Linked DNA regions of Caenorhabditis elegans. The protein of the gene in region 1 binds, or shares a complex with, the protein of each later gene. Each region holds a gene or a part of one and is shown on either strand. Other genes may lie near its edges. A codon is read from its position in the direction of its gene.

Evidence for each region. The genes of interacting proteins can lie anywhere in the genome.
Region 2: the proteins of mec-7 (region 1) and atat-2 are in contact, whole or in part, in a cryo-EM structure (PDB 8Y9F), measured with the Caenorhabditis elegans proteins. Residues at the interface, in NP_509313.1 of Caenorhabditis elegans: Gln15 (codon at 2,204), Ser18 (codon at 2,195), Lys19 (codon at 2,192), Glu22 (codon at 2,128), Ser33 (codon at 2,095), Ser75 (codon at 1,848), Val76 (codon at 1,845), Arg77 (codon at 1,842), Ser78 (codon at 1,839), Gly79 (codon at 1,836), Pro80 (codon at 1,833), Phe81 (codon at 1,830), Gly82 (codon at 1,827), Gln83 (codon at 1,824), Leu215 (codon at 1,428), Lys216 (codon at 1,425), Leu217 (codon at 1,422), Thr218 (codon at 1,419), Thr221 (codon at 1,410), Tyr222 (codon at 1,407), Gly223 (codon at 1,404), Asp224 (codon at 1,401), Asn226 (codon at 1,395), His227 (codon at 1,392), Leu228 (codon at 1,389), Phe270 (codon at 1,263), Pro272 (codon at 1,257), Leu273 (codon at 1,254), Thr274 (codon at 1,251), Arg276 (codon at 1,245); in NP_001379875.1 of Caenorhabditis elegans: Gly238 (codon at 765), Arg240 (codon at 759), Thr249 (codon at 732), Lys252 (codon at 723), Asn253 (codon at 720), Arg255 (codon at 714), Asp256 (codon at 711), Phe257 (codon at 708), Gly258 (codon at 705), His259 (codon at 702), Arg260 (codon at 699), Arg261 (codon at 696), Ile262 (codon at 693), Trp263 (codon at 690).

The regions. Positions count from the first base shown.
Region 1 is NC_003284.9:7,774,321-7,778,259, forward strand, and holds mec-7 (Tubulin beta-1 chain), read right to left. Parts: upstream 2,370-3,939; 5' UTR 2,247-2,369; coding exon 2,190-2,246; intron 2,135-2,189; coding exon 2,007-2,134; intron 1,886-2,006; coding exon 1,231-1,885; intron 1,184-1,230; coding exon 865-1,183; intron 818-864; coding exon 651-817; 3' UTR 536-650; downstream 1-535. Other genes in the region: Degenerin deg-1, read left to right, coding at 22-124, 171-355; ZK154.4 (uncharacterized protein), read right to left, coding at 2,959-3,054, 3,248-3,328. UniProt on the Caenorhabditis elegans protein: TTubulin is the major constituent of microtubules, a cylinder consisting of laterally associated linear protofilaments composed of alpha- and beta-tubulin heterodimers.
Region 2 is NC_003284.9:5,847,531-5,852,478, reverse strand, and holds atat-2 (Alpha-tubulin N-acetyltransferase 2), read right to left. Parts: upstream 3,380-4,948; 5' UTR 3,372-3,379; coding exon 3,231-3,371; intron 3,122-3,230; coding exon 3,027-3,121; intron 2,303-3,026; coding exon 2,131-2,302; intron 2,071-2,130; coding exon 1,977-2,070; intron 1,021-1,976; coding exon 869-1,020; intron 823-868; coding exon 685-822; 3' UTR 508-684; downstream 1-507. Other genes in the region: hog-1 (HintN domain-containing protein), read left to right, coding at 25-240, 355-414. UniProt on the Caenorhabditis elegans protein: Specifically acetylates 'Lys-40' in alpha-tubulin/mec-12 on the lumenal side of microtubules. Promotes microtubule destabilization and accelerates microtubule dynamics; this activity may be independent of acetylation activity.

The sequences.
Region 1 (3,939 bases):
TTCATATCTTCCCTTTTGCAGGTATTCTACGAACAACTGAACTACGAACTGCTTCAAGAATCAGAGGCATACGGTTTGGTTAACTTGATCGCCGATTTTGGAGGACATTTAGGACTTTGGCTAGGTATGAAAGAATGATTTGAGACTAGGAACGAAGGCAATAAATTCAGGATTCTCCGTAATCACCGTGATGGAAGTTTGTGTTCTGCTTGTTGATATGATTTCCCTTTTCTTTAAAAGTCGGCACGAAGAAAAACTTCTGAGACAGAGCACAAAAAGGAAAGATGTTCCAGAAGATAAACGGCAAATTACAGTTGGATCAGGGCGAAAGTCAGACGCTTTCGTATCAATATAAATACCAACTCTCTTTTGAACAACTATTATATAACGTTAATTTTGAACTGGGTTTCTCAAGATGTAGTATACAATGCTGTAACACGTTTCACCTTCATTCGTTTTTTCCGATCTCTAATTGTATATAGTGAGCTTTTTGATTAAAAAAAAAACAAGCCTTAAATTCCGTGTTTAACAGTTGTTTAGCTAATCAAAATTTATCAATTGTGAAATCCCCATGAAAAAAAAAGCAAAGCAAAAAGGCTGAATAAAATGATATAACAATCGATCAATAAAACTTGGTTAGGAAATATGATTTACTCTCCGTCGAACGCTTCGGCGGCATCTTCATCAGCAGCTGCCTCCTGGTATTGTTGGTATTCCGAAACAAGATCGTTCATGTTGCTCTCCGCCTCAGTGAATTCCATCTCGTCCATTCCCTCGCCAGTGTACCAATGAAGGAAAGCTTTGCGGCGGAACATAGCTGGAAAAAATATGAAATTAGTCAAAATACAAATCGTAAAATTTTACCTGTGAACTGCTCTGAGATTCTCTTAAAGAGCTCTTGAATGGCGGTGGAGTTTCCGATGAATGTTGCGGACATCTTTAATCCTCTTGGTGGAATGTCACAAACTGCGGTCTTGACATTGTTTGGAATCCAGTCCACGAAGTAGGAAGAGTTCTTGTTCTGGATGTTGAGCATCTGCTCGTCAACCTCCTTCATGCTCATTCTTCCTCGGAAAATGGCAGCAGCGGTGAGATAACGTCCATGTCTTGGATCGCATGCAGCCATCATGTTCTTTGCGTCGAAACATTGTTGGGTCAGCTCAGGGACAGTAATGGCACGATACTAAAAACTAAGTTATCACAAAGTTGTTTTTTTTTCATTATTCAAACCTGCTGATTGCTTCTGCTAGTCAGTGGTGCGAATCCTGGCATGAAGAAGTGAAGACGTGGGAATGGAACCATGTTCACTGCCAACTTTCGTAGATCCGCATTGAGTTGACCAGGGAAGCGGAGGCAAGTAGTGACGCCGCTCATTGTGGCACTGACCAGATGGTTAAGGTCTCCATATGTCGGTGTCGTCAGTTTCAGAGTGCGGAAACAGATGTCATACAAGGCCTCATTATCAATGCAGAACGTCGAGTCGGTGTTCTCGACAAGCTGGTGGACAGAGAGGGTGGCATTGTAGGGTTCGACTACAGTGTCGGATACTTTTGGACTTGGAACTACCGAGAAGGTGTTCATTATCCGGTCAGGATATTCCTCGCGAATTTTTGAAATGAGAAGGGTTCCCATTCCAGATCCAGTACCTCCTCCAAGTGAGTGAGTAAGTTGAAATCCTTGAAGGCAATCTGTGCTTTCTGCTTCTTTTCTGACAACGTCAAGAACATTGTCTACAAGTTCTGCTCCCTCGGTGTAGTGTCCTTTGGCCCAATTGTTTCCAGCACCGCTTTGACCAAATACGTAATTGTCTGGACGGAAAAGTTGTCCGAATGGTCCAGAACGGACAGAATCCATGGTTCCTGGCTCCAAGTCAACAAGGACAGCTCTGAAAAACATACAGTTAGGTAAACGGTGGACAAAATCGGTATATGTCAAAAATCATGGAAAACGTCTAGATCAAAAAATAATTTCATGAAAAATTATGACAAAACAAACTATATCTATACCTTGGAACATATTTGTTGCTTCCGGCCTCATTATAGTAGACGTTGATTCTTTCGAGTTGAAGATCAGAGTCTCCCACATACTGGCCAGATGGGTCAATGCCGTGTTCATCGGATATTACCTCCCAGAACTGAAATTGCTTGGCATAAAGCACAACTAGGAACATTATAACTGAAAATACTAACCTTCGAACCGATTTGATTACCGCATTGTCCGGCTTGAATATGAACGATCTCGCGCATGTTGCTTGAAATTTGGACCCGACGTTTCTTCCTCTACACCTACAACTTCTTAGCAGGCGATCACTGGCGGAACGGCTGCCTTGAGGCTCGACTGACAACGGACCAAGACAAAAGATGCGACTCAAGACGAATAATGGGAGGAGTCACATCTCGGTGCCCCATCACTTATTCATGAGCTCTGCACCACGCACAGCCACCATCATATCTGTTGTAGTGTGTGCGACCATCGCTGCGCATCATCAACAAATGCATGGCATTCGAATAATGAGTGGTCCGAGAGAAACGAAAGAAGAAGGAAAGAGACGAGATCAAGATCCAACACAAAAAGCCATTTTTGAATTGTGCCATGAATTTGTGAAGAGACAACTGGTGGGGCGAGGGGGTTAGGAGTCATCACAATGAGTGCACTTAATGCATTGTGGATGATAGTTTCTGCATTTTTCGCGCTGTGTTTCAAAAATGCTACACACAAAACGTTTCATCTTGAAACACCCGAACAATACTATAGAGAGATTAAACGGTAAAAAAGGTGATGAGGATATAGCAAACTGACACAAAATACAAAAAATTGATAAGATAGAAGGGAAAAACGATGAGGTGGGAAAGTGCGGGGTGTTGAAAGCTCTTAAATTTAAGAGTTTTCATTTTGAATGGAGATTTTGAGGTTATCATATCACAATTGAAAGTCAGAAATCGAAGGAAATGGCAATTATCAGAGCATGTGGTGAGTACCAGCGTTTTGCAGCTTTTTCTGTTGGAGCCGACGTTCGTGCTCTTGTTGTAGCTGTTTATGGTGCTCTTCGCGGTGCTGAAATACACAGAAATGACAGGTTTACATTTCTAGATTACTACATAATTTTTGTTTTTTTTTTCTAATCAGCGAGCTGTCTTGAGTATCAATTTCTTTGCTTAAAATTTCATACATCATTGGCTAAACGACGAACGGAATTTTTTTTGATAATAGGTAATATTTTTTCAAAACTATTTTCTAAAGTACATACCTCTTTCAAGGTGCTATCCAAATCGTCATCACCCCATCCGAGAAGATCATCATCGATATCTCCAAGTGTCGGCGTAGCTCCCTGAAAAAAAAATGGATTGCAATCAGGTTTTCTTGTCTTTTTCCTGCATCACCACAGCGACACCTTTTGTCATTAGAATTTTTGTCTCCTCTTCCATCGCCCAGAAATCTTGTGAACGCGCGAGAAAAAAAAAGAGTCAAGCGCGTCCCCGGCATCTCTTTCCCGCAATTTGCGCCGCCGTCCCGACCGATTGGCGGCTATTCATAAAAAGTTGACGAACAACTAGATAGAGAAGTAGAAACAGACACAAGACAAGAAGAAGAAGGAGAAGCTGTTGAAGCTAGCTGAAGAATCCATTCTCAACAGGACTCTCCGTGGAAAAAATTAGGGGAGGAGAACAATCGAATACCGACTACACTGATTAGCAGAACGAGTATATTGTTCTTCTTTCGTTATTCTGTTTACTCGTTTCCTCGCACACTGTGAAAGCAAAATCATAAGATCGTCATATTATCATTGTCATGATGAAGCTTGTAAAAGTTATGTTCAAAAACGGTCCATCGTGAATTAATTTTGATTTTATAATATTCAATGTTTTACGTTTAGGTTGACCATATATATATATTGTAAATCGAATTGGTGATTTCTTCCTAGCAATGTTTTTTTGTATA
Region 2 (4,948 bases), 1.9 Mb from region 1:
AATAACAATTGATTTCTATTTTAGGGAAAATTTCGCCAACAAAGAGTCATGAGAATATCGATAACCGAAAGAAAGGGAATTTATGCCCCAATAACAAAAAACGGGCGAATTATTGTGAATGATATCGTAGCATCGGTTTTCAGTGGAATCAAGCACACACGGTTACAATCCGATTACTATTCTACCATAGCCTATGCACAGAGCTGGTTATGGATATTTGGAGAAACTGTCTTTCACAAAGTGAGTGCAACTTTTTAAAATTGAAAAAAAAACGACCCTATTCGGTTAATTGAACTCTAGATCTCTCTAGATACCTGTTTAGGTTACCATCAATCAAAAACTTTTGCATTTTAGGCCACAATCCCAATCGGTTCAGCATTAGCTTCAGACGTACTCCGGTTAGTAATACCATAACTGAAAATTTAACTCAATCATCTAATTACATTCTATCTTTTATTACGAGTTTTTTGTTGATATTTTAAAAATTAAATAATTATGTTCATTGTGTATGAATAATTCGTATTTATTATTTTGAGTTTGAAAACAGCCAACTTTGATATTAAGCGATTAGAAGAATTATGAAAAAGGATTGAAATATCAAAAATCATGAGATCATAACTAAGGCAAGGAGGCATATTTATTGTGTACTGCCGCCAAAGTAAATAATCAAAAACTAGCAGCTTATCACCAAATCCGGCGATGTCCAAAATCTCGAGCATTTTTCAAGCCTGTTGGACTATTTGGGTCTACTTCAGCACGCACTCCGGCTAACATATCCTGGCGCATCAAATCAGCAACCGAGTCGTGACGGGGGCGATTGCGCTGAAATATTATTTTTTGCAAAACAACTATTTTTTTATTCACAAACCCCAATTGGGGAGGTGTTACGGCTGGATGCATGACTGGACACAGCTGAACTGGCTCGAGACGCTCGTTTTGTCTGGCGAGGGGTGAATGGAACAGTTGGGTGACGTCCAATGAAAAAATTTGAACATAATGCATATTTGTTTGATTGCCATACTGGAAATGTTGCGGATGATGAGAATTTCTACATATAATACGGTCGTAAACTAAGTATCAAGTTTTTTGCATACAAATTGATGACTGTTGCAAGTAAGGCTTTTTTTTCTGAATATAATTTGGCATCCAAAGACTGAAATAAATTTAAGAAACTAACAATGGATTGATAAAGTTTTTAAAACTGTGAACTAACTACTTATGCAATTTAATTCAAATTTGAAAATAGAGCGATAGTTTGATTTTTAAAAAGATTTTAAACAATATCGTTCTGGTATTTTTATTAGTTCAAAATTCAAAATACTAAGTAATCATAAATACATTTCCGGCAAGCTTTCGACAAGTATTATTGATAAAAATGGATGAGTTCAATAATTCTTTCCTATTTGAATTTTCTAAAAGTGTTTAAACATTTTCAAATGAAACTCAGCTTAAAATTAGGTTTTGGGATCCATTTCTGTCAAGAAAGTGGAGGAAATAAATTTTTCTGTTTTACGAGCAAAAATTAATAACAAATTCGAGTTTTATTCAGCTATTTTTATGGACTAGTTTTCAATAGAATATTGTATCAATGTTTTATTTGTTTCATATTAACTTTTTATTCCACACCAATTATTAATGACATACTACTAAAAAAACAAAACTTTTGATTATGACTAATGAAAGACAACTGCTCATTGCCAACGAAACTCGGGTGATTTCATTGTTGCTCACTCATTCAGCACTCTCTTCAAAATGCATTATCTTATCAGCTTATCAGAGCTCCAGCTACTTCCATGCAAAGTATGCTTTAGCGCGGAACCCGGAATAAGTCTGCGGTTGCGAGCAACAGCTAATCCAGTGCGAAATCCACTAGTATCGGGTATGTTTAGGTGCTGTGAGCTGTATCTACCTTGTCGGTCTTTGCTGTCGGCCGAATTTTGTAATGTATCGGTGGTACAAGAATGCAATTTACTTACCCAAATCTTTTCTATCATAATATTTTTCTAGAAATTGTTGGAGAGCAGCTGATGGTTTGTCGAATGCGCATTGGTCTACTGTTACGTTTTCAGCCTGAAGTAGAACATTTAAAAACTCTAAGTCACTTTTCTACAAACATTTAAAAAAACATACTTTTAACATTTCATCAAACATTTTGAATCCATTTCCGGAGCGTTGTTCGGTGGGCACAACGAAAAAGTCCAAAATGCACATTGCTTTTTCCATGTACTGATTTTGTTCATTATCTGTCAGATAAAGCGTTTTATATCCAACTCGAAGCAACCCTTTGAGTATACTTTTGCTTCTGAAAAGCAATAATTAAGATAACTTTTTTTTTGAACGATTTTCCCAATTTAGTTTTAATCATGAGCAAAAAAAATTGAATTCCAAAATATATATTTTTAAGTTTTACATTTATATTTTTAGTCAAAACTAAAATAAATTTGAAACTTATATTTAATTATGCGTTGTAGGATGCAAAGCAACAAAACTCTAAATTCAAAAATTGGGTTATTCGCCAAAACCAAAACAAACTGTTGACTGGAAATTCTTAGAATTAATATCAATATATATTTTTTGCAATAACAAAGATTGTTGGTTTATATATAAGGATTATATAAGGATTTATTCAAGTAAGAAATTCGAAGTTCAAAATACGGTCTTACTATTAGTAAGAGGTATGGACAAATTATTGAAAGTTATATCTTTTTTTTTCATATACACACTGCAATATTCAGGTATATGAAAACCTCATGAAAGCTTTTCAAAAATCTTTTTTTTTTAATTTTAAACTACTATTTAATGTTGCAATCCTTATTGCGTTTATCAATTTACAAAAAAACAAACATTTTAAATATTCCAAAATTTTCATACTTATTAATAAAAACGTATTAAATTCAAAACGTATTAAATTCAAAACGCGAAGCCAAGGATCAAAATGTGCAACACATTTCGCTACTCCACCTTTGAAACATTCTTTCCACTTTTTTAATTTATAATTTCCAGTTTTCACTTTCAAAATGCCTTACCCATTAACTTTCTCCCACATAATGTAGGTCGTCTGCTCCTCGTCATGGTCAACGATCTTGTCATACATTGTGATGACTCTCTTCCATCCGTGGAACTGCAAAAAAAAAGACAAATGCCGTGCATTTTCAATTGTCTAAGCCATATAAAAAGTTTTGCATTGTTAATAACCTTCAAAAAAGTTCTGGAAAAAAACATGAACCTACCTTTGATGACATTTCACCCAGGCAATCTATACTTTGAGCCACAGCCCAATATCGTTTTGGTCCATACTTCAATAGGTCAGTTCGAGTGAGACGTTGAATGTTATCCGTAAAAATTGTTGACAAATCGAATGCGATCTCCATGTTTCTGCAACAAAAGTGATACAGAAAAATAGTATGAAACTTAAGCTGGACTGAAGGAAACAAATTTGGGATAAGTTGAGAGGGACTATGTACGCGATTAAAGAAAATGGGCGGAAGACACGAGACTACTGGCCTCGGCCGCAATATATGGAAAAGAGAGAAGGAATAAAACGGGGTACGAAAAAAAAAGGAAGGGAAAGAAATAGGATGCGAGAAAAAAAACTTGATGGGATACACACATGTCATTTATTTATGATTCACTGAATACTTCTCGATTGATTGGCGGAGAAAATCAAAGCAGGTGGGTGAATGAAGAACTGCGGAGGGAAAGTTTAAGAATGTGGTACAAGTGCTCGAGTATGAATGTTTGCACATTGATGACGGAGTATAGTTATGAAATATTCATTTTTGTGCAAACATTATACAATCGAACAGGTTCGAGTGGAGAGTAATTAAATATGGACTATTACTTTTGCGATTATTGTCTCAAAGGTGGACTTTCGACAAACCAAATGAAAATAAATAGTGGAAGATGAAAAAGTCCAGTTCGTAAAATTGCAAATTACCAGCTTCTGCTAATTTTTTTGTTTGAATTTTTCCAAAATGACTAATGCAACCAATCAGCGATTACCTGTATAACACCAGCATATTTTTGCTAAATATTAAGACAAAAATCCGATTTCCCAACTCCGTCTATAAATTGTATTACTCAGTCAAATAGTTAGGAATATCAAAGGAAAATATGAGAAAAATTTGTGAAAAAAACGATAAAAAACTATGAAAAAGCCCAGATTTTTTTTGGTTTGCTAATAATCGTACAGTTTAAGACAATAAACCCACAGATGAGTTAATTTTGAAAAATAGTACAATTCGAATGAATGTTATTTTTAAAAAATGTGGCATTTTTAATTTTACTTCCCAACCAAATCTATGCAGTGAACAGAAATATAATTTCATTGGATAAATTATTTTAGAAATGTATTATAGATTATTTTATACATTTTAAAACAGATTTAAACAACTAATCGAAAAAACGAAAAAATTGTAGGAGTCAGATGCATTGATTTTAAAAATATAAATTGATCAAAAATAGAAACAATTTTTGATTTCTCAGATAAAACTATGCAGTTTTTATCATTTTAAAAAACATTTCCGCGAAAAAATATATTTGAAAGTTAAAAACCAATTACCGAGTTGCTCTATTGTTCATCACATTTAAACTGGTCGAAATTGAAGAGAAAAAGTTTAAAACTCAATATTATTTGCTAGACCAAAAACGTAGATACTATTAAAATCCATATATATTTTGTGCAACCCTATTGAAAAAGTATACTATGCATAAATTTCAAAACGAATCAATAATTTCAAATATACAAAAAATTATTTTGAATATGATGTTAGTAAAAATAATATTACTATGACTACTCAAAAAAAGAGCTCTGAGCAGATGCTTCGATTGCAAAACTACTATGCCAAGATATATTTCAAAATGCTACAACTCTCCCGAATCGTATGGGAATTTGTAATGTGGTGAGACGGAGCGAGAAGTGGTGTTGCGAAATAAAGCCGGAAAAGTG